4 linked regions of the Schizosaccharomyces pombe genome follow. The protein of the gene in region 1 purifies or fractionates together with the protein of each later gene. This does not show direct contact. Each region holds a gene or a part of one and is shown in the gene's direction. Other genes may lie near its edges. The genes, in order: mad3, cut4, apc5 and cut20.

Region 1 (4,309 bases):
ATCAGATTGTTATAACGGAATTCCCCTTGATAGCCGAAGGTTAGATCATTTGACTGTTATAGTTGGTAAGTTAAAGTTTTATGAATCCTCAAATCTTTGGCTTATACATAGAGGTATTCGGTTTGCAAAATATCGTATAAACGGGTCCTATAAGTAGCCGCCGAACTTGACATTAGTTGAATTGGACTAACATGATTGAGAGATTAAAGATTGCTAAGAACAGACTTGAAGCTATGAATTCTTTTAATTTTCCCGCCCAGGATAGACATGAACGAGCCCCTCTCTTGGGATCAGAGTATGACCACTCTATGGCTCGTCAGTTGTCGCTTTTAAACGTGGTCGGCATGACCAAATCTGTTTTGATGTCTAGCTACTTTAACTTGATGTTGGTATTTGTTCCGATCGGCTTAATTGCAGGATGGTTTGAATGGAACGCTAAATCTGTTTTCATACTTAACATGCTTGCTATTATCCCCCTTGCATCCTTGCTTAGCTTTGCTACTGAACAACTCTCTATAATTAGCGGACCAACATTGGGAGCATTGTTGAATGCTAGGTAAGATTCCTACTTTATCGTCTTCTTTTGTTATTTTATTAACACGTTGTGTACAGTTTTGGAAATGCCATCGAGCTCATTGTAGGCGTTCTTGCTTTGAAAAGAGGAGAGCTCCGCATCGTTCAATCGTCCCTTCTCGGATCAATATTATCCAACTTGCTTCTTGTTTTTGGAATGTGTCTCGTAACTACTGGTATTCGTCGTGAAATTACCACATTTAATATCACTGTTGCACAAACTATGATTGCAATGCTTGCTTTATCTACTGCTACCATATTGATTCCTGCGACTTTCCATTACAGCCTTCCCGACAACGCTAATAGCGAAAATGCGCTTCTCCATGTCTCTCGTGGAACTGCTGTTATTGTACTCATCGTCTATGTTTTACTTTTAGTTTTCCAATTAAAGACTCATAAGCATGTCTGTCATGATCCCAGTGAAGTGGAAGAAGAAACTGAACCTCGAATTTTAGGCCTTCGTTCATCCATTGCCATGCTTGCTATCGTCACGGTTTTTGTTTCTCTTTGCGCAGACTATTTAGTAGGTTCGATAGACCAATTGGTTGAGGAAGTTAACATTTCAAAAACTTTCGTTGGTTTGGTCATCCTTCCTGTTGTAGGAAATGCTGCCGAACATGTTACTGCAATCGTGGTATCTTACCGAGGACAAATGGATTTGGCTTTGGGTGTTGCTATTGGTTCCAGTATTCAGATTGCTTTGTTTTTAGCTCCCTTCTTGGTAATCGTCGGATGGATCATCTCCCAACCTTTAACACTTTACTTTGAATCATTGGAAACAGTTATTCTATTTGTGTCTGTTTTCTTGGTTAATTACTTGATACAAGATGGTGCTACTCATTGGCTTGAAGGTGTTCAATTACTTGCTTTGTATGCGATTGTTGTTCTCGCCTTTTTCTACTACCCTCAATAAATTTTGTCGTTCCCTCGCTAGTTCCTTATTATGTCTACTCTTATGTGCTTGATATACTCTCTTGATTTCTTTGTGTTTTACTTTACGAAACTATCATACCGAACTTATTGATTTCTTATTTTTTTATACTAGATTTTTTTTTTTTTTGGTTTCTGTTACAAGGATATTTTGCAGACTTATTTTTTAGTATGCAAGTGTTAAATTATGCAGAAATCTCCCATTTTCGCAATGACTACACAACTCTAAATTTCTATTGCAGGTCAAGCCAATATCTGCTTGTTTACAGTAGCTTTTTAAGTCGCTCATTCTTCAGTCTCAGTTTCATGTGTCTTACCAGCTATGAAAATAGAAAATTAATTTTTGAATAAACTCTTGTAAATCGTTGTTTATAAATCTTCATTTTGTTTATTTTTATTAGTTGTTTTGTAGGTTGTGTTTTACATGATTTAATAATACAAGCCATTAGTATGTGAAGTGGTTAATTTTAATTCTTCTTCTGTTTCTGTATATTCGAAGAAACAGAAAAAACTTCTTATCTCTTTCATTGGACTCTTCCAGGCGTAAGTATGATACCCTCCCCCAGCGTCAAGTTGGCACTTACCTTCTAATTTACGCACAATCTTTCATACATTCCTACTCTTGCTCTTTGAGTGTTGACACTTTTAATTTTATACAAAAGCTTTCAGTACACCTTCTATTAAACTATATACTGGCTATTTTCGTTCTTTCAATAGAATTGTACTTGTCTAAATAAACTTTCCAATACTACTACACTCACATCTCCTTCTTTGTTTTATTTATTTTCATTTAGTGGAAGGTATAGGGTTCTCTAGAAAAGGTTTACTAATTTTTTGGAAGACATTGACTACAAATGGAACCATTAGATGCTGGCAAGAACTGGGTGCATATGGATGTCATTGAGCAGTCCAAGGAAAACATAGAGCCTAGAAAAGCTGGTCATTCAGCTTCTGCACTTGCAAAATCTTCGTCGCGAAACCACACCGAAAAAGAAGTTGCTGGTCTGCAAAAAGAAAGGATGGGCCATGAACGAAAAATAGAGACGAGCGAGTCTCTTGATGATCCACTACAAGTTTGGATCGATTATATTAAATGGACCTTGGATAATTTCCCTCAAGGTGAAACAAAAACTAGTGGACTGGTAACATTGTTAGAAAGGTGTACTCGAGAATTCGTACGAAATCCGCTTTATAAAGATGATGTTCGGTATTTACGAATATGGATGCAATATGTAAACTATATAGACGAACCGGTTGAATTATTTTCTTTCTTGGCACATCATCATATTGGACAGGAGTCCTCGATTTTTTATGAGGAATACGCAAATTATTTCGAGTCTAGGGGATTGTTTCAAAAAGCTGACGAAGTTTATCAGAAAGGAAAAAGAATGAAGGCTAAGCCATTTTTGAGATTTCAGCAAAAGTATCAGCAATTTACTCACCGTTGGTTGGAATTTGCCCCACAATCATTCTCTTCAAATACAAATTCGGTTAATCCTTTACAAACGACATTTGAGTCAACAAATATCCAGGAAATATCCCAGTCTAGGACTAAAATTTCTAAACCTAAATTTAAATTTTCTGTTTATTCAGATGCGGATGGTTCTGGAAAGGATGGCCAACCTGGGACCTGGCAAACTCTTGGTACAGTTGATCAAAGGCGTAAAGAAAACAACATATCGGCTACTTCTTGGGTAGGCGAAAAGTTGCCTTTGAAATCTCCAAGAAAATTGGACCCTCTTGGGAAATTTCAAGTTCATTGTGATGAGGAAGTATCGAAAGAATAACCGATAAAGAAAAGATTTAAAGTATTGGCGTTATTAGATTAACAACTATTGTACATCATGACTCCCGGAATAAGAAATAGGTTGAAACATGCGAATTTTAAGGGTTATACGAACTTAACATAAAGCATCTTATTTATACTACGATTTGCAGCTTTTTTTTATATTTTACTCTCAAATTAATTATAGTCAGCCATAAGTTAATGAATATGATATAAATAATTCTTTTATAGACAATTTATCAAAATAATAAACAGATAGCTCGATAAGTAATTACACCTCTATACAAGTAAAGCTAAGACCCCTTAGCTATAAATATTTTAACTAATGAGAAGGCCCCTCAAAAACCACAGAAGCAGCTTTGCCCAAACGATTCATGATAGCTAGCCCTTCATTTTCCTCGGAGACACCTTCAACCAAAACAAAATCAACTCCCTGCAGATCCAAATCTCGCAATTGAGCGAATAAATTCTTTGTAATTTCATGTCCATCCCTTCCCATATGCAAAAATACAAACGGACAGTGAGAAGGGAATGACTCTTCGTTCCAACGTTTACTACATAAAACACCAATCTTCTGCTTTTCCTTAGTGATTCCCTGCTCAGATAAATACTTTTCAAAAACACCGTATGCATCAGATTCTGTGTAATTGACAAAAAGTAGCACTTTGGCAGTTGGAGAGTAGTGTCTGTATTTCATACCAGGAGTTTGAGGGATGAAATCTGTTTCCATATCACTTTTTTTAGCTACGAATACTTTTGTTCGCTCCCAGGCCCCTCCAGAGCTTTGAATTTCTTCTAAACTTATGCCTCCTGGCCGTAAAATTACGGGAGGATCACAAAGTCCATTTACAACTGTACTCTCCACACCAACACCGCATGCTCCCCCATCTAAAATTAAAGGAATTTTACCTTGTAAATCATTGTAAACGTGCTTAGCTAACGTAGGAGATGGCCTTGTTGAAGCATTAGCCGATGGTGCAGCTAACGGCGAATCTGAAATAGAAATAAGGGCAAGCGCAA
Region 2 (8,135 bases), on another chromosome or scaffold:
AATCTGCTATGTCCACAGTCTTGAGATGATTCATAAAGCTCATTCTCTTTTACAAAGCTCCTAGCTTGATAATTTTTAGGATCTTGATTATCCGTATTAAGGGCTTGCCCATGATAATCGGTATCAACATGAGACTCATGTCTTGCAAGCCCTGCGTAAGAAACGTCAACTGGTTTTTTGCGAGAAACAGCTTTTGCTTTGACTATATTCTCTTCTGTTGAGAGCATGTTTGTATTTGATTCACCCTTATTTGCCATCCGTTTGGCCTTATCAATTTTTTTTCCCAATAAATACACATTTTCAATTTTTTGCCAATTTTCTTTTTTCATCTTGAAAAGTTGCTCGAAAATAGTAAAGACAATCAATAATATTATTCCCTTAAAGGGGAACTACTTCCATACAGAAAAGATGTTGTACTGGATCATTTATAAACTCCCATGACATGTAAACAGATGTGAATCCCTGACAATTGAGAGCCATGTTTTAAACCGTTAAAATTTTTAACGCGCTTTACCGATGTTTTATATGCTCTAAATTGTATGTACAAAGAATGAAATATCTTGTGAACATAAAGGTTATTTAAGAATTTAGGCTGAGATATTTTATAGTGAAAGCATAAAAACCGTTTTGTATACATAGCCGATTATTCTACTGTCTATACCAATCATTGTCTTATTTTAACCATTGGGTATTGAAACCGAGTTCTATTTACTAAGAAAACACTTAGTATAATTCTTTTTTTTGTATTTGTCTGAGAGATTAATCAAGTACGAACTAAAGAAATCTCTTGTCATATATTTTCCTTTGTGTAAATAGCTAAGGATGACTGTTACAATATTGCCCATAGCGTTCTATAACTTCTGGTGGATCAATCGCAATCATTTTTCATTTCAAAGAATTACTAATTGGGTCTATAGAAAAATCATTTCTTTTTATTTCAGACTATTTTGTTTGTCATTGAATTTCCTACATTAGCTGCTCTGGTTTATTGTATCATTAACTTTTAACATAAAGAACCTCAACAAGTCATGCTAATTTGACATTATAGAATGTAAGTATATTAAATTATGATAAACTATTTATTGCAAAAGCAGGATGGATAGTACATTATAGAGCATAGAAATTGTTGCAAAGAAATCCACAGTTTATTATCTAAGATATTTACTTTATGGAGATATTAATTTAGAAGGCTCATAGCCGTATTTTTTTGCATTATAAGCCATTTGTTTCACTGGCTTTATATAGTCAATATGCGACTCATAAATTCATTAGAGTTATTCTCTCGCGAAAAATCATTGAAATGTGGGGCCTGATCATTGTTGTAGATTTAAGCAACATATAACCGAAGCTAATGAGAACAAATTGAAGCAGAGTTTTTCTGAATACCAAATACATTTTTGATACTCCAGGGTTGCAGAGTTTTTGCCTTCAGAGCCCATTGCAAGTATGTTCGGTTTCTAAGGGTTTCCTCACTTCATACATAGTTAGATTTGTTCCTCAATTCTTAATTTTTCGCTGACTTCGTGACGCTTTCTACTATAATCATGTTACAAACTAATATATAAACAAACTAGTGACCTTTAGGATTAAACGAGAGGCAAGCACAAACCACTTGTTCCATTCAAGTTACTGCAATATTTTTATGGAAGATATTAGAAAATTAGCAGAATACTCACCAAGTTTGTCACAATGCAAGACGATGGCAAAAGATCCTTAAGCTCATTCCATATTAAAAATGTCGTAAGTTAGTAAAATTTAAAAATAGTCAAGTCCTTCATTTTGAAGTTTTTTGTTTATTACTCGACCAAAAACAAATTGCCTTGCAATCGTTACCTTTTATGCTTTAGCACCTATAATTATCCTGTAGACAGAAATTACCTTTTATATAGCAAACATTATTATACCCAAATAATATTTAACATTGAAATCTTCATAAATAAATGAATAAAGTATGGTAAAATATTATTTACATCCCCCTATACAGCTATATGGCTCAACCTTTATACAGTAATAAAATGTCTAAGTAGTCCTGCATGTTATGATAGAAACACCCAAAGCCTTCACTCTAAACTTCAAGGAATTTACTGCTTGCTTTTGTCGTACACACTCCTATAGTAAGGCATCTTATATTCCATATGGATCCTCGACACTGGGGATGTAAGTACTGACTTGTAGTTTGAAATGGCAAGTCGGTCGTCTATATCGACATGATTTTATAACTAAATTCCTGTAAAAAAGAGAAACAAAAATGATATTTTAATGCATAAAACAATTTCCCGTTAGAGTATTTTTAATTATCAGTATTCCAAAAAAAAGATTTCTAGTCTTCAAATAAACCAATGCGTGATAAATACTGGAATTGGGGAATATAAAGATCCAAGTTAAATTTAATTGATTTTGTAAAAGCACTAAGTTCTGTAGGTTGACTTTTTAATTGTCTAGCTAACGTAAGTTTGGTAAGAGATGCTGGTTTGTTTACACTAGATATACGCTGACACTCAGATTTCACCTACAACTTCATGCTAAAAAGGAAATGCGAAATTGTAAACGGAACTGAGTTATTGATTATCGTTACTAGATGCTGAAATGCTAGAATTAAAAACAAATGTTATTCAAGACCCTGAATTAAAGGATTCATTAGATTTGCAAGAGAATGATCGGGTTGAAATCATTGGAGATGCTGTGCATTATATTGTGAATGACCATTTAAATCGTGTATTTAATTATACCGTAGATCAACAAAAGATACATGCTGCCCTTATTACTACATTTGCATCTGGAAAAAAGGCAATTGTTGTGATTCTGGACGACATTGGATATGTATACTATGTGGGCGACAATAATAATGATTCTTATATTATAAACGTTCCTTTTTCAACAGAAAGCGCATGGAGTTCACCAAGTGGACTATATCTTCAGCGTCATCGTTCGAGCGATGAGAATCTGAATACTGACTTGCCTCATATTTTTTGTCTAAACGATCCTTTAGATGAACTTACGTTAATAAAATTTGACGGAAAAAAAATACTATCTCTGTTTGATTCAATCGTTTATGTCGTGGGAGAGATCGTCGTAACACATAATAAAAAAGAAAAAAAATTGAGTTTTTGGAGGAGTCGCTTTATTGATCCAGAGTCAGACCAGTCAATAAAAAGCTCACGTAACAGAAGAAGGGAAAGCTCTTTTTCTCGTGAAAAGAATCCTGACTTAACTCGCTCTGATTCTATCCATTATACCGCCAATACTCGTCTTTCTGAAAAATTCGAGGAACAAGGACTCGCTTATTCGACCATATTTTCTCACATAGAGTCTTTTCCTATCACCGGAAGTACTTCGTTTGATTCAATCCTTGGAAATGGTGTTTTGGTCATCACCACTTTAGTGAAAGAGCTTGAAAAAGGCTACATGATGTTGTTTCGCCTTGTTCGTGACAGATCTCCTTACTTCTTAGATTCGCTTCAACTACATGCAATAAATTTGAGTGCTATTAAATCTAAGCATTTGCAAAAAATTGTTGTTCTGTCTTCAAAGGGGAAGGTGAGTCTCGAGTCTCCAATGTCGCCATCTTTGCCTATTGAGGGTACCTTTCGTTCATTTCGTGTGCATGGTGCCACACTTTACTTAGAGGACACCGATGGAGTGCAGAGGTATATATCTCTAGATAACAGAGCATCCAATAGCTTGGTAAAATGGTGTTTAAGTGTTATTCGTTATGTTTTGCCCTTGCGTGAATATGAAATTTTTTATACTGGACATCTTTACGCGCTTTTTGCTTTTAAGCTTAGCCATGATGAGGCTTTCATATCTTCAATACTCGCCTGTTTCACTTTCTTTTCTCGAGATAAAGTTCATGTTGAACCAATTGAAGATTGCAATGAAGCTTACAGTCTGTCCTCTAAGTTTCATTTTAAAAAAGAAATACTTATTGCTTCTCAGCTCTCATCTCATCTTGATTACTCAACATTCAAAAATTACTTGATGCCCTTAGCTATTACCTTACATTTTATATCTGAAGAATTGCGGTTGGATTCGGTTGTAAAGCCTCGTAAAGATCAGCTTGTAGCTTTATTACTTCAAATCACCACGTGGTTGAAGTGGCCACGGTATTGCGAGTATTATAACTTTGATATCGCTGAAACATTTCTATCTATACCCTTATCGATTCAAGTTGATGTTGAGGAACCTGTTGGTCCAACATCGATTTTACAGTGGATTATTGAATGTTTAAGGTCGCAATCTACAGTACCTTTTTATGGCTTGGAAAGTTATGGGCTACCACATTCTTGCTCTACTATGTTTCCCCAAACCCTTTCTTTAATGCAGTTACTCGATTGCTTGCTAAATCCTAATATGACCCTTCAAAACTTAGTTGAAGAAATGGTACGGTTAGGAATTTCAAGAAAGAGGTGTGAAAGATACCCATTTGGAATTTTATGCATTATTTTTACAGTACTCGAGATTGCCGCTGAAGAGTATTCTCCGAATTGGGAAAGCGAAGAGCTTCGATTAGTCAATCGCCTTGACGTTGATTCATTCTTACATCCAAAGACACCTAAATGGGTTTTTAATAAGCAGGATCAAGAAGTCAAAGAAATAAAAGCACTCACTAGTACAGTTACCGATTCTACACTTGTTGACACGCAGTCGTTTCATCCTTATAAGGTTGTAACGGATATGATTTTTAGAGAGGATCGACGACTGGCAGAAGTGAATAAACTTTTAAATTATTCAAGTCAAATCACCATAATGACTGAACACTTTGATGTCGACTTGAGTTCAGTACCAATGCAACAAAAAGTTGCTCAATGCATTTGCGTTAGAACATTGTCCGTGCCAATTGGAGCGGGTATGCTTACGTATGGTAGTAAAAATCCTTTACCTACGGAAAAGGTCACTCCACGATTATTTAATTTTACATTGCACTTGCATCCTGGAACTTTAATTATACAACCTAATAAAGAGTTCGTAACACAGGAATTAACCGAGTGGCCAGAGTTTAATGTTGGCGTTGCATTAGGATTATCGATATCTAAGTTTTCAAAGGAAATAAACACTAGTTGGATTATGTTCAATCGACCTGAAACTTTGACTGCTTACCATGCGGGATTTCTTTTTGGTCTAGGGCTAAACGGTCATTTAAAGGCCCTTGCTACCTGGCATTCTTTTATTTATCTTACTAGCAAGCATGATACAACCAGTATAGGCCTTTTACTTGGACTTGCATCCTCGTATTTGGGGAGTATGGATGCAAAGGTTACAAAATTGCTAAGTGTGCACATTTCAGCATTACTGCCAGTTGGATCTAATGAATTGAATATTTCACCATTAACTCAGACTGCAGGAATTCTAGGAATTGGTTTATTATTTCATGATTCGTGTCATAGACGCATGTCTGAAGTGACCATGGAAGAGATTTTGGCTTCTAATGAAAGCGAACTAAAGAATGAAGGCTATAAGTTAGCTGCTGGATTTTCTCTTGGTTTAATTAATTTAGGGAGAGGATCTAATCTTCCAGGCATGTCTGATTTAAAACTCGTTTCAAGGCTACAAGTGGGAATATCTAGTCAGGCTACATTTCAGTCTTTAGAAGCCGGTTCTCCCGGGGCCATTATGGCTTTGACTATGATATATATGAAGACTAATGATTTGGAAGTTGCGAAAAAAATTGATATTCCTAAATCGCGATATCTTCTTGATTTCTATCGTCCAGATCTAATACTTTTGCGAGTTGCCGGTAAAAACTTAATTATGTGGGATGAAGTCAAAGCAGATTATGAATGGGTGAAATATCAAATTCCTGATATAATGCTCTCACAATTTGATTTACAGGAAAAAAAGGTTCTCTCTTCTGACGACTTGCTGCTTTATAATGTCTTAGCAGGGATTTGTTTTTCTTTAGGTTTAAGGTTTGCTGGAACGGGTAATCCGAAAGCCAAGGAAATTCTCATCAACTTTTTAGATAGCTTCATTCGGTTGTGTCATCTGCCTGCTAAAACACACGATGAAAGAGTAACTGCAGTGACTGTAATTCGCTGTACACAAATTGTCGCTTTGTCTTCTTCTTGTGTTATGGCGGGTTATTGTGATCTAGATGTTTTGAGAAGGTTAAGAGTACTACATGGGAGAATGGAGCCTGTGAACTACGGGGCTCAAATGGCTACTCATATGGCGCTCGGAATTCTTTCGCTAGGTGGAGGAAGGTATAGTTTGTCTCGCAGTAATTTAGCAATCGCGGCTTTGTTAATATCATTTTATCCGCAATTTCCCAGGACTACTCAAGATAATCGTGCACATTTGCAAGCTGCTCGAAATTTGTGGGCTTTAGCTGTGGAAGAACGTTGTATTATCCCGAGAAATCAAGATACCAAACAGCCATGCATAGTGCCATTAAATGTTGTTCAAAAAAGCGGCGCAGTTCAAAAACTAGAAGCGCCTATACTTTTGCCGCCGTACGATAGCATTAGTTCAGTGTCGACGTTGGGTGATAAGTATTGGAATTTAAAAATTGATTTGGACAATAACAGTGATTACCGTGAACTATTAAGGGAATCACAAACACTGACACTGATGCCTTATGACCGAACAAGTTCAAAAGAAGAGCCACTTAATCTATTCCCTAAGCTTAAAGATACCTCAAGCCCACTTTGGAACTTGGTAAAAACAAGCAGGTTGTTCCAAAGCTCGAATAGCCCCTTAAACGTTGCATCGTTACAAGAATCAAATAATAAAACTTCTCTAGGCGTTAAATTACTCCTGTCTATGGACTTTGATAATTTAACTAGAGACCGTTTATTAAGTTTGCAAATACTGTTACAATTTTTTGAGTCTTGTTGGACTGGTGTGCTCTTGAATAAGTTTCACTCCCGTCAATATCTTTTCCTTTCTCGTGATTTGGTAGAAGATTTGAGTTTGAGAGTATGGGAGTATGTGTATTCTCATAATCATAATGAAGAATCTGTATAATTATGAACTACGTTTATTAATTATATGATATGCTAATGGGCTGAATGGTTTCCAAAAATCTTTTCCATCATATCAATCCTTCAAAAGGAAAATTGAAGTTTAAAAAAATAGAACCCCTTAAAATTAACGACTTGTATAAATACCTTAATGTCTCAATTAATATACAAGGTGGCATATCCAATGCAACACTTTTTTCACGATCATGATTAATAGCTATCTTCAAATAATGGTTTGTTAAAAGGAAATCGAAGTTAATAATAAATTGTTAATTGGAATACTGATGCTCAAACTATTTCACTGGGCAAAGTAAAAAGAATATTATTGCGACAACTACTAAGCACCCATGGTTCTTCAAGGGGTAATACCGCCTGTCTCAAGGCGCCGTTGAAAATAGATTAGCTTTTTTATCCTTTTTCTATATCTTTTCCCTCCTTTCGTTAATTAATTGATTTAAGCATGACACTTCGAGCTACTAACTAACACTATATCGTTGTATGCTGTTTACATAAGTTCTTGATGTTCGAATCTATGACTTTCGAGTAACGGTTCCAAATATTATAATTTAATGAATTACACCCGATAATTAATACACTGTATTAAACCATCTAAATCCACCTGACGAATTCAATCTTAAAATTTAAATAGAAGTCTTTAAATCCGACATGCACTGAGATGCTGAAGTTTTGTAACGATCTACATTAAATTCCCCTATTATAATTTACGTACGATTATTCGCCTCATTAAAAATTCCTTCGTTTTTGAGGGGTAGTAAGGGCATGACTTCAACCTTGCATCCTATGACACAACACTTCTTTCGTTAGCAAAACACAAATTGAAGCTTGCGAACGCATAGGAAGTGTGAATAGCTCGTTTCTCGAAAGCCGCTAATTCTACAAAAGCTTTCTGTATCAAAAAGACTTGTAGTTTTACTTAATACACCTTTGGTTCTGCGCTAAGAGTGAAAGGCTCAGTATTGTTGTGAAAACCGTGAATCTGTAACGTCGGTTTATGTTAATTTGTATTTTTGAACGCTTGCTATAACTATTGTTATCTATTTTTGTCTGCTATAGATTATCTTTGAAGGACTCAGAGTCGATTTAGCTTATCTTCTTATTTTTTGTCTCAGGTGTATCGAATTATCGTTCGTGTTCATTTGTACTTTTGGAATAACA
Region 3 (5,961 bases), on another chromosome or scaffold:
TTCCATTTGTTAATGTTACAGTTGTTGATTCTGTTTGAGATTCACTCATTTTGAAGATATTGAACTTTGCCTAAATACTTTGGTTTTGGGTAACTTGGAGCTCACATGCCGCAAATAACAATAGGATACATTACGTCAGGTTCTCTTATTAGCGTCCTTAATGAAGTTCTTCAACATCGGTATAACTAGTAGCTACAAATGCCTTAGGGAATTTAACGATGTCTATGGTTTTGCATCCTTTATTTTTGGTTTAGAGAATATAATGGTGCTTTATTATTATATGATACTGAAAATAACAAGAAATTGCATTAACTTCTAAAATAAAATTTGACTAGGAACCCTTCTTTTATATATACATGAATTCGCTAAGTCCTCGGATCCCTCAATCCGGTAATACGCTGCCAAATTGAAAGAGTTCAAATCGCTTTTTATATCCGGCTACGAAGGGGGATCTATTAACCAGCATATTGACAAATTCCCGACAGCGATAATGATTTTGAAGGGGAACGGATAGCTGCATTCATGGTTTCAGGAAACGTGCAGAACTTTTTCTCTACGGAAAAAGAAGTTTGGTTTCAAAATTTTACAAGTAAGCGAGTGCTTACGATTTACTTGTGTAATAGAAAAATATTAATGAATGTTGTTAAAACTGACTTTTATTATTGATATCCCCACGTGGATGTCCACATTTCAAGTTGAAAGTGCTTTTCATGAGCGAGGCTTCCTGTCGAAGATTTAACTGTTTAACCCAAGCGTTGTGTAGAGGGGTAAGATGAATTAGTAGAAAAACTTTAGCTAATATTTTAATAAATTTAAAAAATGAATAGAATTAAGCGTAGCTTAGACATCATTTGAACTTGCACGCTTGTATGATTATCCTTTTTCCTTCGATCGTTCGCTTACTTGATCAAAATGCCTAGCATTTAATTTACAATAGGGACTTTAGTGCATTTAGAGTATACGTTAGAGATTAACCATACTTCGATTGTGTATTTCTTTGATTTCCAATTTTGAATTTAACTTACCTTACTTATAGACAAATATAACCCAATTAACATTTCTTATTCACAAACTTCGAGAGCTAGTTTTATTGCATTCGTTTAGGTAATACAAAACGAAAGTCTACTACAACTGAAATGGTGCTTTCTTTTTCTTCCCAAAATTTATTTATTTACCTTTCTGTCATTAAATGTTGGTCAGCAAATCAATTTGATAATTGTCAAAATGTTAAAAGGGCTTTGTGTATATTAAAAAAAAAAAAAAAAAAAAAAAGAATAAAAGCAATATTTCATCATTTCAATCAATTACTCTATTACTATCAGCTATGACACCCGAATTCTATGCCTACTTATGCATATTTTTAAAAAACCATATAAATAAAAATATGCACTTTTAAAAGGTAAAGGTTAATCGATTTTATTGGATTTATTTAAATAGCATTATTTTAAGCATTGATGATATTTTTAAAATGCATCATAATGAATATCTTTTGAAATTAATGCTTCACAGTTCACAATTAATACCCAAACAAAACATGAGTTTATAGAGACGTGAGTGATTTTTAAATAAAACTTTTCATATGATTATTACTCAATTTAACCCAATAGTAAATAAATTTTTTGTGTGTGCCTGCGAAAAAAAAAAAAAAAAAGAACTATAGAAACAATAAAGATGACAAGGAGAAAATAAAGAATAAAGAAAATCTCTTATAAAATTTGATATCTCAAGCTTTTTATTATTATTTTTGTCCGTTTGTTTATTTTTGTTTACGAACATTTATGAAGACCACTTTCAATCGTGGATAAAGCTGTAAAAATGATGCTTAAATAAAATAAAAATATTGATGATTATGATTATTAACTATATTGAGGTAGTTTATATATCATTCACAATTTCGGTAAGTTCATATGTTTATGCGTATTGTTGACAAATATCACTGAAGAACATAGGAGCAACACAAATTGAAAGAAATAAATATCCGAGAAAATATATCATTCTTGAAAAAATATTAAATTTTTACGTTTACTTCTAGAGATTTAAATGCTTGAATAGTTAGCATATCTTGTAAACATAAGACTACTTACCATAATACTCAACCATCGCACTTCTGAACGTATACATGCCATTTACATATTACTGTTCCAGCCTTCTTCGATAAAGAGGTTTTATTTGGTACATAGAACATTCGAACTGTTTGTGATTGAGAAAATTTGGTGCATTGCTATAAATTATAGGATTGAGAGACGATCGTGTACTGCTTACCTATTTAACCATGCAGAGTCCCGCGATGTCAATGGTAACACCAATATTTCCCATACCTTTAAAAACAAATTCTTCAAAAAAAAATTTTTATACTACCTTTTTGACACCACATAAATTGACGCTATGTTTGCTTATTGAACTTTATGCCCATCGCATCATTCAACCTCAACATTGTGTGCCCTTCCTAGATTTGGTATTGGGATATTTTAATGTAAGAACAACTGACTGAAACAAGATTCTCTTAATCTCGAGTACTAACTGTATATCTCTAGCCCAATGACTCACAACCACAAACACTGACTCGAATTCACGACATAACAAGTCACCTTCCCAGTTCAATTGAAGAATATAGCGTTTACAGTTTATTGCATGAACGTGTATGAAAGAATCATATCAAAAATTGTATTCTAACAACTTTGTTTTAGCTATGGTCCTTGCATTCTTTTGAAGATATTCATGAAATATTCATTTCTCTTGGAAACTACATAGAAGGTGTTTACGATTCTGAAGAAGAGGCCCCCCATATGCTTTTTTCATCGTCTTCACTTTTATCTATTTTCCTTCGAAAGTGTGTTGTGGAATACGAGCAGTTTTCATTCGAACAAGGGGTTCAATTCTTTAAATCATTTCTTCAATACAGAGCTCCCTCAATGGATTTTCAACATGAGGGGATTGAATTCTGTAAGATTAATGTTCGTCATGAGTTAATGAATTTGGCTAGCAATAAGACTCTACTACAGTTGGCATTTGGAAGTATACCAGGTTTGTTTAGTTAATTTGAAATTAATTTTTCCTAACTTTTCTAGTTTCTCGTTCTAGTCGGGATATTGAACAACTCACTCAAGTTCAAATTGAACACATGCAAAGTAGGTTTCATTGGAAAATTTTTAACAATTATATTAACAGCTTTTTAATGCATATTATCTAAGCACTTATTAACTGATTTACGCAGAATTTGGATGTGCTCTTCCATTGGAAATGAAAGAAAAATTGCATGATTTATTAGAAGTTGAAGAAAACAATCTAAATACTAGCTATTATTGCAAGTAAGATACCAAGCACATCTTTCCTGCTAGCAATTAACTAACATACTAAGATTCTTAAATTCCTGGTTTAGTGGTGATTATCAGCAATCCGTGGAAAATCTTTGCAGATATTTTGATCACATTATGCATTCTGATGAAAAGGTTTCTTATCAGTACGCTCTCCTCAATCTTGCCATGCTTCAAGCCGATTTTGGCTGTAATGAAGAAGCTCTTCATGCGATTGAAGATACGATTAATACTGCTCGTGAAAGCGGCGATACTGCTTGTCTTAATTTTGCATTGGCCTGGATGTTTGAGTTTAAGCGGTCACAATACTCGAATCCTTCTCCAGAAAAAAATGAAAACGATGATCAAATACTAGAACATCTTGCGCGTAATAGTCAAAAAGCTCAACTGCCTATATTACAGACGACAGTTCATCTCTTACAGGTCCAAAAATTTTTAGATGATGGATCTAGTTTAATTGGCGTTTTCTCTAATTTGACTAAGGCATTTGCTTTGTTTTGTGCTAATGAATCATTCGATGGTTTCCCTCGGTATATGGACTTGCTACAAAGCATTTGGTATCGTTTAGGATGCTCTATCCTTTCCATGACTTATATTTCGATCTATCAAAAAAATCACGTCCATGATTCTCCTGCACTCGACCTATTACAAAGTCTTATAACTAAGGCATGGAGGTACGCTGAATTAGGAAGATGGTTAGATGTTGCTACAATTTTGTCGACTGCTGAGGTTCAATCACAGCGTTCTTTTCAATGCGCACATTTATATGGCAGAGAAAAAACATTTATCTACTTATCTAAGGCGATTGACGAGTAAGAAATCATTGTTTACAAAAATCAGAAAATTTGCTAATTTTGAAAAGGAAAAATCATATGGATGCTACCCTGTATTTGAAAAATTTAAATGGCTTTAGACACGACAAGATGTCTACTTTTCGAACTCAACTCTACGCTTTAAGGTTGGATATTAGTTTGGGAAATTTAAGTCAGGTAATTAACAAAACATTCGTACCTACATATACTAAACGTGTTACTAGGCCATTGAAGGAATTGATAAATTATTGGAAGAACCGGAAAAACTGGCGATTGAATGGGTGCTGCAGTTGATGTTTTTAAAGGTTGACATTTATATGGTAAGGTGAAGGCTGATTTTAGGCTTATGCTAATGTGAGTGTTTAGAGGACTGAAATGTCAAATCGAGCTGTTTTTGAATTGCTGGAAATAATTCAAATGGCCTCATCAAACTATTTAAGATTGTATCTTCTGAGAGGATTATGCACTTTGTGCTTGATTGGGGAACTGGATTGTTTTACAGCTATCGATCTATTAGATTCACTAATCCCTGACATAATTGCAGCGGATAACAAACCATTACTTGCATTAGCATTTCATGCATTTGCTTCTTTGCAGATTAAACATCTTGACCTTTTGCAGCCTTCACGAATGTTTGTCATTCAGTTGCTTGATAGTGCTATTGATGGTAAGTTGATCAAGATTTTCGAGTTCAATCTCTAATGATTAAATAGGTTATCGGGCCTGTTACATGGTAGAGATGCAAAAAACTGTTGTCCGCCTGAAAATTCAATATTTACGACAAATTAATGATCCTGCACTCCAGCCCAACATTGAGCAATATTGTTCTCGATTCTATTCCGACAATTTGCTAAACTAACACTCGTTTAAATACGATTATACCTTCATACTTTTAACGACAAATCAGCTAATAAATATAATTAAGCAACGGATACTCATGATTAACTAAGATGTACATATATATATTTTATACTAAACGAGGATACGAGCACAATAAATATACTACTTTGTTAAGTCGATGTACAAATGCATTTACAAAAATACAACAATTAAAACTACGAATAATGTCTGATTATTTGATAAACTCCAAAGGAACAGCATTCTTTTTTAAAACTAGATAGTAGTATCATAGGCGACGGGGTGGAGAGTGACGGGCTCGTTATTCTCAGTAGAAACGAAATGAGCCGTAGCAGGAGGAGCAGGTTGACGACGAAGTTGAACAGTCTTACCCTGAGCCTTGGCCTCCTTACGCTTAGCCTCATTGGCCTTAACACGGTCCAAGAAGTCTTGACGGCACTTAGAGTGCTTAACGTGCTCAATACGAACATTGACACGCTTCTCCATGTAGCGGTTACCAACAACCTTGTAGATCAAGACACCAACAGAAGATTGAGTAACGTTGTAAACAACACCAGTCTTGCCATGGTAGTACTTGTGAGGCATACCCTTTTGGACAGCACCATTAACCTTAATGTCGACAATGTCACCAACCTTATAGGTCTTCAAATAAGTGGACAAACGAATTTGACCATGCTCTCTGAAACCACGTTGAAAGGTGTAACGGGTGCGAGCTCTGATACCGTAAGAATGAGGCATTGCTGTTCCTGGTTAAAGGCAAAGTACGCACGGAAATTCCATATGGTTTGTGGTGAAACTTTGTGACTGTTTTTAGTTCATTAGAGCACGTTGTGCATACTTAACACCAAACTATAGTGAATAGGCATAAAAAAAAGGTAGAAAAAAGAAAAATATTTAAATGCAGGAATGAATTATCCAATTTCATGTAAGCAAGTAGGAATTAATGTGCATTCAACGATAGAGTATGATACTATGTT
Region 4 (5,857 bases), on another chromosome or scaffold:
GTATGGCACAATCCCCGTTTTTTGCCATCAATCTTCGCATCACAAATGGTATGTTCACTTTAAAAACTATGTTTGAGAGAATCTATATACGTTCACTCATTACTAACCAATTATTTTAGGAACTATTGACATCAATGTATCTCCAGACAAAAAATCTGTATTTTTGTCTGAAGAGGATTCCATAATTGAATTTATTAAAAACTCCTTGCAAAACCTATGTGAAAGCTGCGGACATGCAATTTCTTGTTCCAGATCGCAATCCATTTTTTCATATTCCTCGCAAATTCCTGATTCCTCTGGAGACAGTACAGATCAGGAATTGCCTCAGTCAATTCCAGCAACAGAATCCGAAACAAGTGATGACTCAAGTTTTTCTTATAAACGCTCACCATGTAAAAGAAAGCTCGTAGAAGCTACTGCTCAACCAGCAATATCCACTAGTGTTGCAGAAGGAGCGTCATTAGCACAAGTATCCAAACCTTTGCCAGAGCGTTTGCAAAAGGATTCTATGAGACGAAGTAGCCCATTAAACGAAAAAGTTACGGCCTCTTCCGAAAGAATGAAGAAAAAGCTTGCCCTATTCGCTTCTAGTACTGATACTTCTATGCAGAAAACAATAGACTCTAGTTTCCCACTAAAGCAACCCATCAATAAACCTAGCTCGAATCCTAACAATTTGTTACTAAATGATCCAAGTCCAGCATCAACACCTGTTGCTAAAACAATTAATTTAAACGAGATTGAGTCGGTACACAACGCAGAATCAGTTTCCACACTCTCGAGCATTCCTCGTACTGAGCAAACCAGTGTTGCGAACAGAATTCCGTCAAAAACTGCAGCGCTACAAAAGCTCAAATTTTTTCAATCTAGGCCCTTGGATGGTTTAAACAAGTTTAGTAAAAAAATAAATATATCTTTGAGTGGAGTGCAAAAAGATATTGTTCGAAGCGATGCCTTACTGAAATTTTCGAACAAGATTGGCGTGGTGCATGATATTTCAGATGAAAATCAGGAAGATCATTTGAATCTAACTGTACATAAAGCCGATTTTTTAAGAATGAGGGTTGTTGGTCAATTCAATAGAGGATTCATAGTGGTTGTTCATGGAAACAATTTGTTTATAATTGATCAACATGCCAGCGATGAAAAGTTCAACTATGAACATCTCAAAAGTAATTTAGTTATCAACAGCCAAGACTTAGTCCTTCCAAAAAGACTGGATTTAGCTGCTACAGAGGAAACTGTTTTAATTGACCATATAGATTTAATTCGAAGAAAAGGATTCGGCGTTGCTATAGATTTAAATCAGCGAGTTGGTAATCGCTGCACTCTTCTTTCAGTTCCCACGAGTAAGAATGTCATTTTTGACACTAGTGGTAAGTTTATTAACGAAGATCTTGACCTTTAACTTCTGTAGATTTACTAGAGATCATCAGTGTGTTGTCTGAGCACCCACAGATAGACCCATTTAGTAGTAGGCTTGAGCGAATGCTTGCTTCAAAGGCTTGTAGAAGCAGTGTCATGATTGGTAGGGCTCTAACTATATCCGAAATGAATACAATAGTTAGGCATCTTGCTGAGTTGAGCAAGCCTTGGAATTGCCCTCATGGAAGGCCAACTATGAGGCATCTCCTTCGATTAAAAGATATATAATGCGTAAAAGAAAGACTTTTTTAACGATTCTAGAATTTCAGCTATTGAATTAATGAATAATATTGGTTTATTTACAATGTATTTAAAACATAGCAATCAGCAATTATTAAAAGTGAATCTCTTATTGCCAAACTCAATTGAAATTTTTATCATTAAAGAATTATTTTAAGCGAACTTGAACCATGAGGAAATGATTTTTCTTTAGATGTAAATAAACATCGTACTAACGAGGTATGCACAGTTGGATAATCGCTTTCTTAATGTTTTGTATCCCTACAACTTTCATCAACTTCAGTTTTGCAATATCAGTCTTACTTCCTAATAAACCATCTATGCTAGCAAATTTAAAAAGGTTGTATGATAATTGTTGAAACTATCCATTCACTAGATATTTTATATACCTGAACAGGCTTTTATTGACTTGCTGTACTACAATAAACAAACTTCTACGAATCACCAAAATCATCCAGTCTTATCCAAATGGTGTCAAAATCTTTCAAATACCCTAAAAAGCATAAATTTGAATGGATTAATGAAACTAATAGAGTTGAAAGGGTTGGAAGTGGCCTTAAACGAGTAATCTTATGCCCTTCTATGGAACTCATTGCGATATTAACGTGTTCAAATCATTTGATTTGCTGTAGAAGTAACAGTCAAAGAATTTGGGATGTCGATTTTCATGATCTCGAGGCTACTGAATTGTGTTGGAATCACGATGGTACGTGGCTCGACTGGAAAACTTTTTTTGTATCATTAACATAAATAGGGAATTTAATAGTTGTTGGATTTAAAAATGGAGAGCTTAAAATTATTGATTCCTCCACAGGACATCTGGTTGAGCAAAGGCCAGCTTCCAGAGATTTAGCGGTTCTAATGATAACATGGGCCATGCAAGAAACGATAGTAAATGAAAAACGCAATGATTTTTTATTTGATGCCACTGCATATATGCCTTTACTTGGTACACTTCCTAGTTCGGCAAAAGAGTAAGTAGTAACACAAAGCGACTTGTCTCTTACATTTTTTAGGGAACGTATATTTTCTTCAAAAGCAATCGCACAATTTTTTGAGCCGAGGAAACGAGAGGGTGAAAATAACAAAAAAGTTGAGCTCTTAAGTATTTTGGATGAACGTGGAATTAGATACATAAAGTGCGTATCAAAAACCCCTTATTTATTAGCATCTTTCTAAAAGAAGTTTTTTTATCGATCGATACAAATTAGAAGTACTAACTATTCATAGTATGTTTTCGTCTTACAAAATCGGAGAAAGCGATTCTTTGAAATCAGCCTTGAACTTGGTATTATACCCATGTTATTAAATGTCTTGCTCACACAAATTATAGGGGGTTCCCATTTCACACAGCATAACCAACGACTTAGCATATCATGTTCTTATTTGTAAAGGAGGAACGAATATTTCTTTGAAAACACTTTATATGCCATTACTTAAAAATGATTTGGGAAGTATTGTGGATATTGCAACAATGTCTACACGTATGCAACATTTGGTAAGATATCTTGAGGAGGTATTGAATGCTATGTATGAAGAATTTGACAATGTCTTCAAATCAGAAGCTAGCTTTATTAAAACCTTTGATGCTTTAGTGTCCAAGTACAGTGACACAACTTTCTTTTCTTTACAACTAGAGTTATATCAATTTATAATGAACGGTATACCCAGCGACTTACTCAAAGAATGGATCAACGAAAGAGTCGGTGATCGAGTACTAAAAAATTGGGAACGGGCGATGGTGAATTCGTACACGTCCTTAATCATTTTCTGTCAGGAATTCGTAATACCTGCTTGTGAAAGGTTAACTGTATTATTATCTTCTGCCAGAGGAAAGTCAATATGGGGCCATATGAAGGGAAACACATTACTAGATGCTAAATTGGTGGAAGATTGTCTAGCAACTTTGGGTTATTTACAGAATAATGTTTTTTCGTTTCTCAATTGCCTTTTTGAGGAAAAAAAGTATATGAAGCACTTTATTTCATGGTTGAATTACGCTATCGTCGAGTTTAATACTTCTGAACCATCTTCTATTCCACCGCAAGAGATTATTGAACATATTAATGAAACCGTAATTTATATTCGTCATTCTTTATTCCGCTCGAAACTAACAAGTTACTTTATGGGCACAAAACCCCTTCAGCTAAGAGATCCTGATTATTATTCTCTCAAGGATTTTGCAAATCAAGACGACAGTAATTCTGTTGATGATTTCGTATCATTCAAAACCTTGAAAGAATCTTTAAGAGACTCATTCAACGTCATTTTTAGCTACCCTTCTTTAACTTGTCAAAAGCAATGGTTAAAAACCGGAGACCTTGTTTTGTTTGAAGGGACTGATTGGAATGTATCATCTCTTATACCAAAATCCTGTAATGAAAAAAACCAATTATTTTCATTATTCTTTCGAAAGGATACTCCGAATATATTCTTAATAATTTCCCAACTTATGGAAAATACTATGTTGCCTGTATCTGGATGCCACTTTGGCTTGGATTATGCAGAATTACTAGGAAGCAGTCTGTTGGATTTCCAGCCCGCAACTGTTTTAGACATGAAGCTTTTAAACGGAAGTAGTATTTTAATACTTGGAAAACTAAAGGAGAAGTGCTTCTTATGTGAAATTTGCTTAGCAGACGTTCCCTTAACCTTTTTTGAGCACCAGCAAAAAAACAGTTACCTTGATGCTATCAGTCATCTTCCTTTCATTCCACTAAACAGTTGCCTATGGCTGCATGAATTTGAGAAGGATTTCCTTCCTTCAACACTCGAATATGCCCTTTCTGAGAATAGCGATTACGGAGTCCTTATTTCAAGGGAATCTTCGAGATATCGTTTATTCTCTTTTTAATGAGCTTATGTTTAATGGTCGTAATGTTTTTTTTTTCTTGTTTTTGAAGAGCAAGTTACATTTTTTGTAGCGGTCTTTTAAATTTTCTTTTCTTTTTTTTAATTCTTTAATATAATTTAAAAGCAGAAAATTTATACAATATTTTCAATTGCAATAACTTCATTTAGAAAAGTCAACATATAACGAAGTTTTTTACCTTCTGCTATAAGTTTCCTTGATACACTGACTTCTTCTCTCAGCGAGGATCGTGTTTCAGCTAAAGTATAGAGATGGACACCTTCCCTTCTCTGTTTCTATATTCCTTAACAATACAGAATAGTAATTATGTTCAAAGTTCGTGTGCCGCGTCCTTGTCTGGTAAAAAGGCACAGGAGATAGTAATTGCTACAGAATCAAGGTTGCTTATATATAAAGTTGATGCAACTGATGGGAGAATGAATTGTATTTTAAATCAAAATTGTTTTGGTATTATTCGAAATGTTGCTCCTTTGAGATTAACTGGTTTTAAACGCGATTATCTCGTAGTCACGTCGGATTCAGGACGAATAACCATTTTGGAATATAACGTTGAAAAAAATAAATTAGTGCCAATATACCAGGAAACTTTTGGAAAATCAGGAATTCGAAGAGTTGTTCCTGGTGAATACTTAGCCATAGATGCGAAGGGGAGGGCCGCTATGATTGCATCTGTGGAGAAAAATAAGCTGGTTTACGTACTAAATCGAGATTCAGAGGCTAACCTAACAATATCTTCACCACTTGAAGCTCATAAAGCTAATAATATATGTTTCCATTTAATTGGGTTAGATACTGGTTATGCTAATCCCATCTTCGCTGCCTTAGAAGTCGACTACAGCGAAATAGACCATGACTCAACTAGAGAAGCATTTACATCTTCGGAAAAGGTTTTATCATATTACGAATTGGATTTGGGATTAAACCATGTTGTCAAAAGATGGTCGAAGGTCGTTGACAGAAATTCTTATATGTTAATCCCTGTTCCCGGTGGTAATGATGGGCCCTCCGGTACACTAGTAATATCTAACGGATGGATTTCCTACCGTCACCTTCAGAAGGCATTTCATCAAATTCCCATTTTGCGTCGTCAAGCTGCATCGGCAAACGCCATATCCACTCCATGGAATCAAGTCAATTCAAACTCTGCAAATGATGGTCCTTTGATTGTTAGTGCTGTTCTCCATAAAATGAAAGGATCGTTTTTTTATCTTTTACAAACTGGTGACGGGGATTTGCTGAAGCTGACAATCGAGCATGATGGTCAAGGGAATGTTGTTGAACTAAGGTTAAAATATTTTGATACAGTTCCCCTGGCAGTTC

The links.
Region 2: the proteins of mad3 (region 1) and cut4 purify together in Schizosaccharomyces pombe (affinity purification with western blotting; 2 studies listed by BioGRID, with this or other methods). This does not show direct contact.
Region 3: the proteins of mad3 (region 1) and apc5 purify together in Schizosaccharomyces pombe (affinity purification with mass spectrometry, with the first as the bait; one study listed by BioGRID). This does not show direct contact.
Region 4: the proteins of mad3 (region 1) and cut20 purify together in Schizosaccharomyces pombe (affinity purification with western blotting; 7 studies listed by BioGRID, with this or other methods). This does not show direct contact.

Annotation. Positions count from the first base shown.
Region 1 is NC_003421.2:995,331-999,639, forward strand, and holds mad3 (mitotic spindle checkpoint protein Mad3), read left to right. Parts: upstream 1-2,085; 5' UTR 2,086-2,357; coding exon 2,358-3,290; 3' UTR 3,291-3,509; downstream 3,510-4,309. Other genes in the region: vcx1 (CaCA proton/calcium exchanger), read left to right, coding at 192-556, 613-1,486; SUA5/yciO/yrdC family protein Sua5, read right to left, coding at 3,612-4,309. UniProt on the Schizosaccharomyces pombe protein: Component of the spindle assembly checkpoint which is a feedback control that prevents cells with incompletely assembled spindles from leaving mitosis.
Region 2 is NC_003423.3:388,403-396,537, forward strand, and holds cut4 (anaphase-promoting complex platform subcomplex scaffold subunit Apc1), read left to right. Parts: upstream 1-2,507; 5' UTR 2,508-2,586; coding exon 2,587-6,963; 3' UTR 6,964-7,635; downstream 7,636-8,135. Other genes in the region: protein mug2, read right to left, coding at 1-329. UniProt on the Schizosaccharomyces pombe protein: Component of the anaphase-promoting complex/cyclosome (APC/C), a cell cycle-regulated E3 ubiquitin-protein ligase complex that controls progression through mitosis and the G1 phase of the cell cycle.
Region 3 is NC_003424.3:3,400,303-3,406,263, reverse strand, and holds apc5 (anaphase-promoting complex platform subcomplex scaffold TPR subunit Apc5), read left to right. Parts: upstream 1-2,121; 5' UTR 2,122-2,272; coding exon 2,273-2,473; exon of another isoform or gene 2,474-2,534; coding exon 2,535-2,639; exon of another isoform or gene 2,640-2,687; coding exon 2,688-3,024; intron 3,025-3,068; coding exon 3,069-3,128; intron 3,129-3,214; coding exon 3,215-3,308; intron 3,309-3,352; exon of another isoform or gene 3,353-3,358; coding exon 3,359-4,126; intron 4,127-4,176; coding exon 4,177-4,303; intron 4,304-4,337; exon of another isoform or gene 4,338-4,350; coding exon 4,351-4,446; exon of another isoform or gene 4,447-4,492; coding exon 4,493-4,793; exon of another isoform or gene 4,794-4,839; coding exon 4,840-4,985; 3' UTR 4,986-5,173; downstream 5,174-5,961. Other genes in the region: SPOM_SPAP32A8.02 (xylose and arabinose reductase), read right to left, coding at 1-49; rpl2102 (60S ribosomal protein eL21), read right to left, coding at 5,240-5,722.
Region 4 is NC_003424.3:4,040,696-4,046,552, reverse strand, and holds cut20 (anaphase-promoting complex platform subcomplex scaffold WD repeat subunit Apc4/Cut20), read left to right. Parts: upstream 1-1,928; 5' UTR 1,929-2,133; coding exon 2,134-2,371; exon of another isoform or gene 2,372-2,419; coding exon 2,420-2,639; exon of another isoform or gene 2,640-2,681; coding exon 2,682-2,804; exon of another isoform or gene 2,805-2,824; intron 2,825-2,895; coding exon 2,896-2,953; intron 2,954-2,979; exon of another isoform or gene 2,980-2,998; coding exon 2,999-4,519; 3' UTR 4,520-4,744; downstream 4,745-5,857. Other genes in the region: MutL family mismatch-repair protein Pms1, read left to right, coding at 1-48, 120-1,376, 1,418-1,653; prp12 (U2 snRNP-associated protein), read left to right, coding at 4,789-5,857.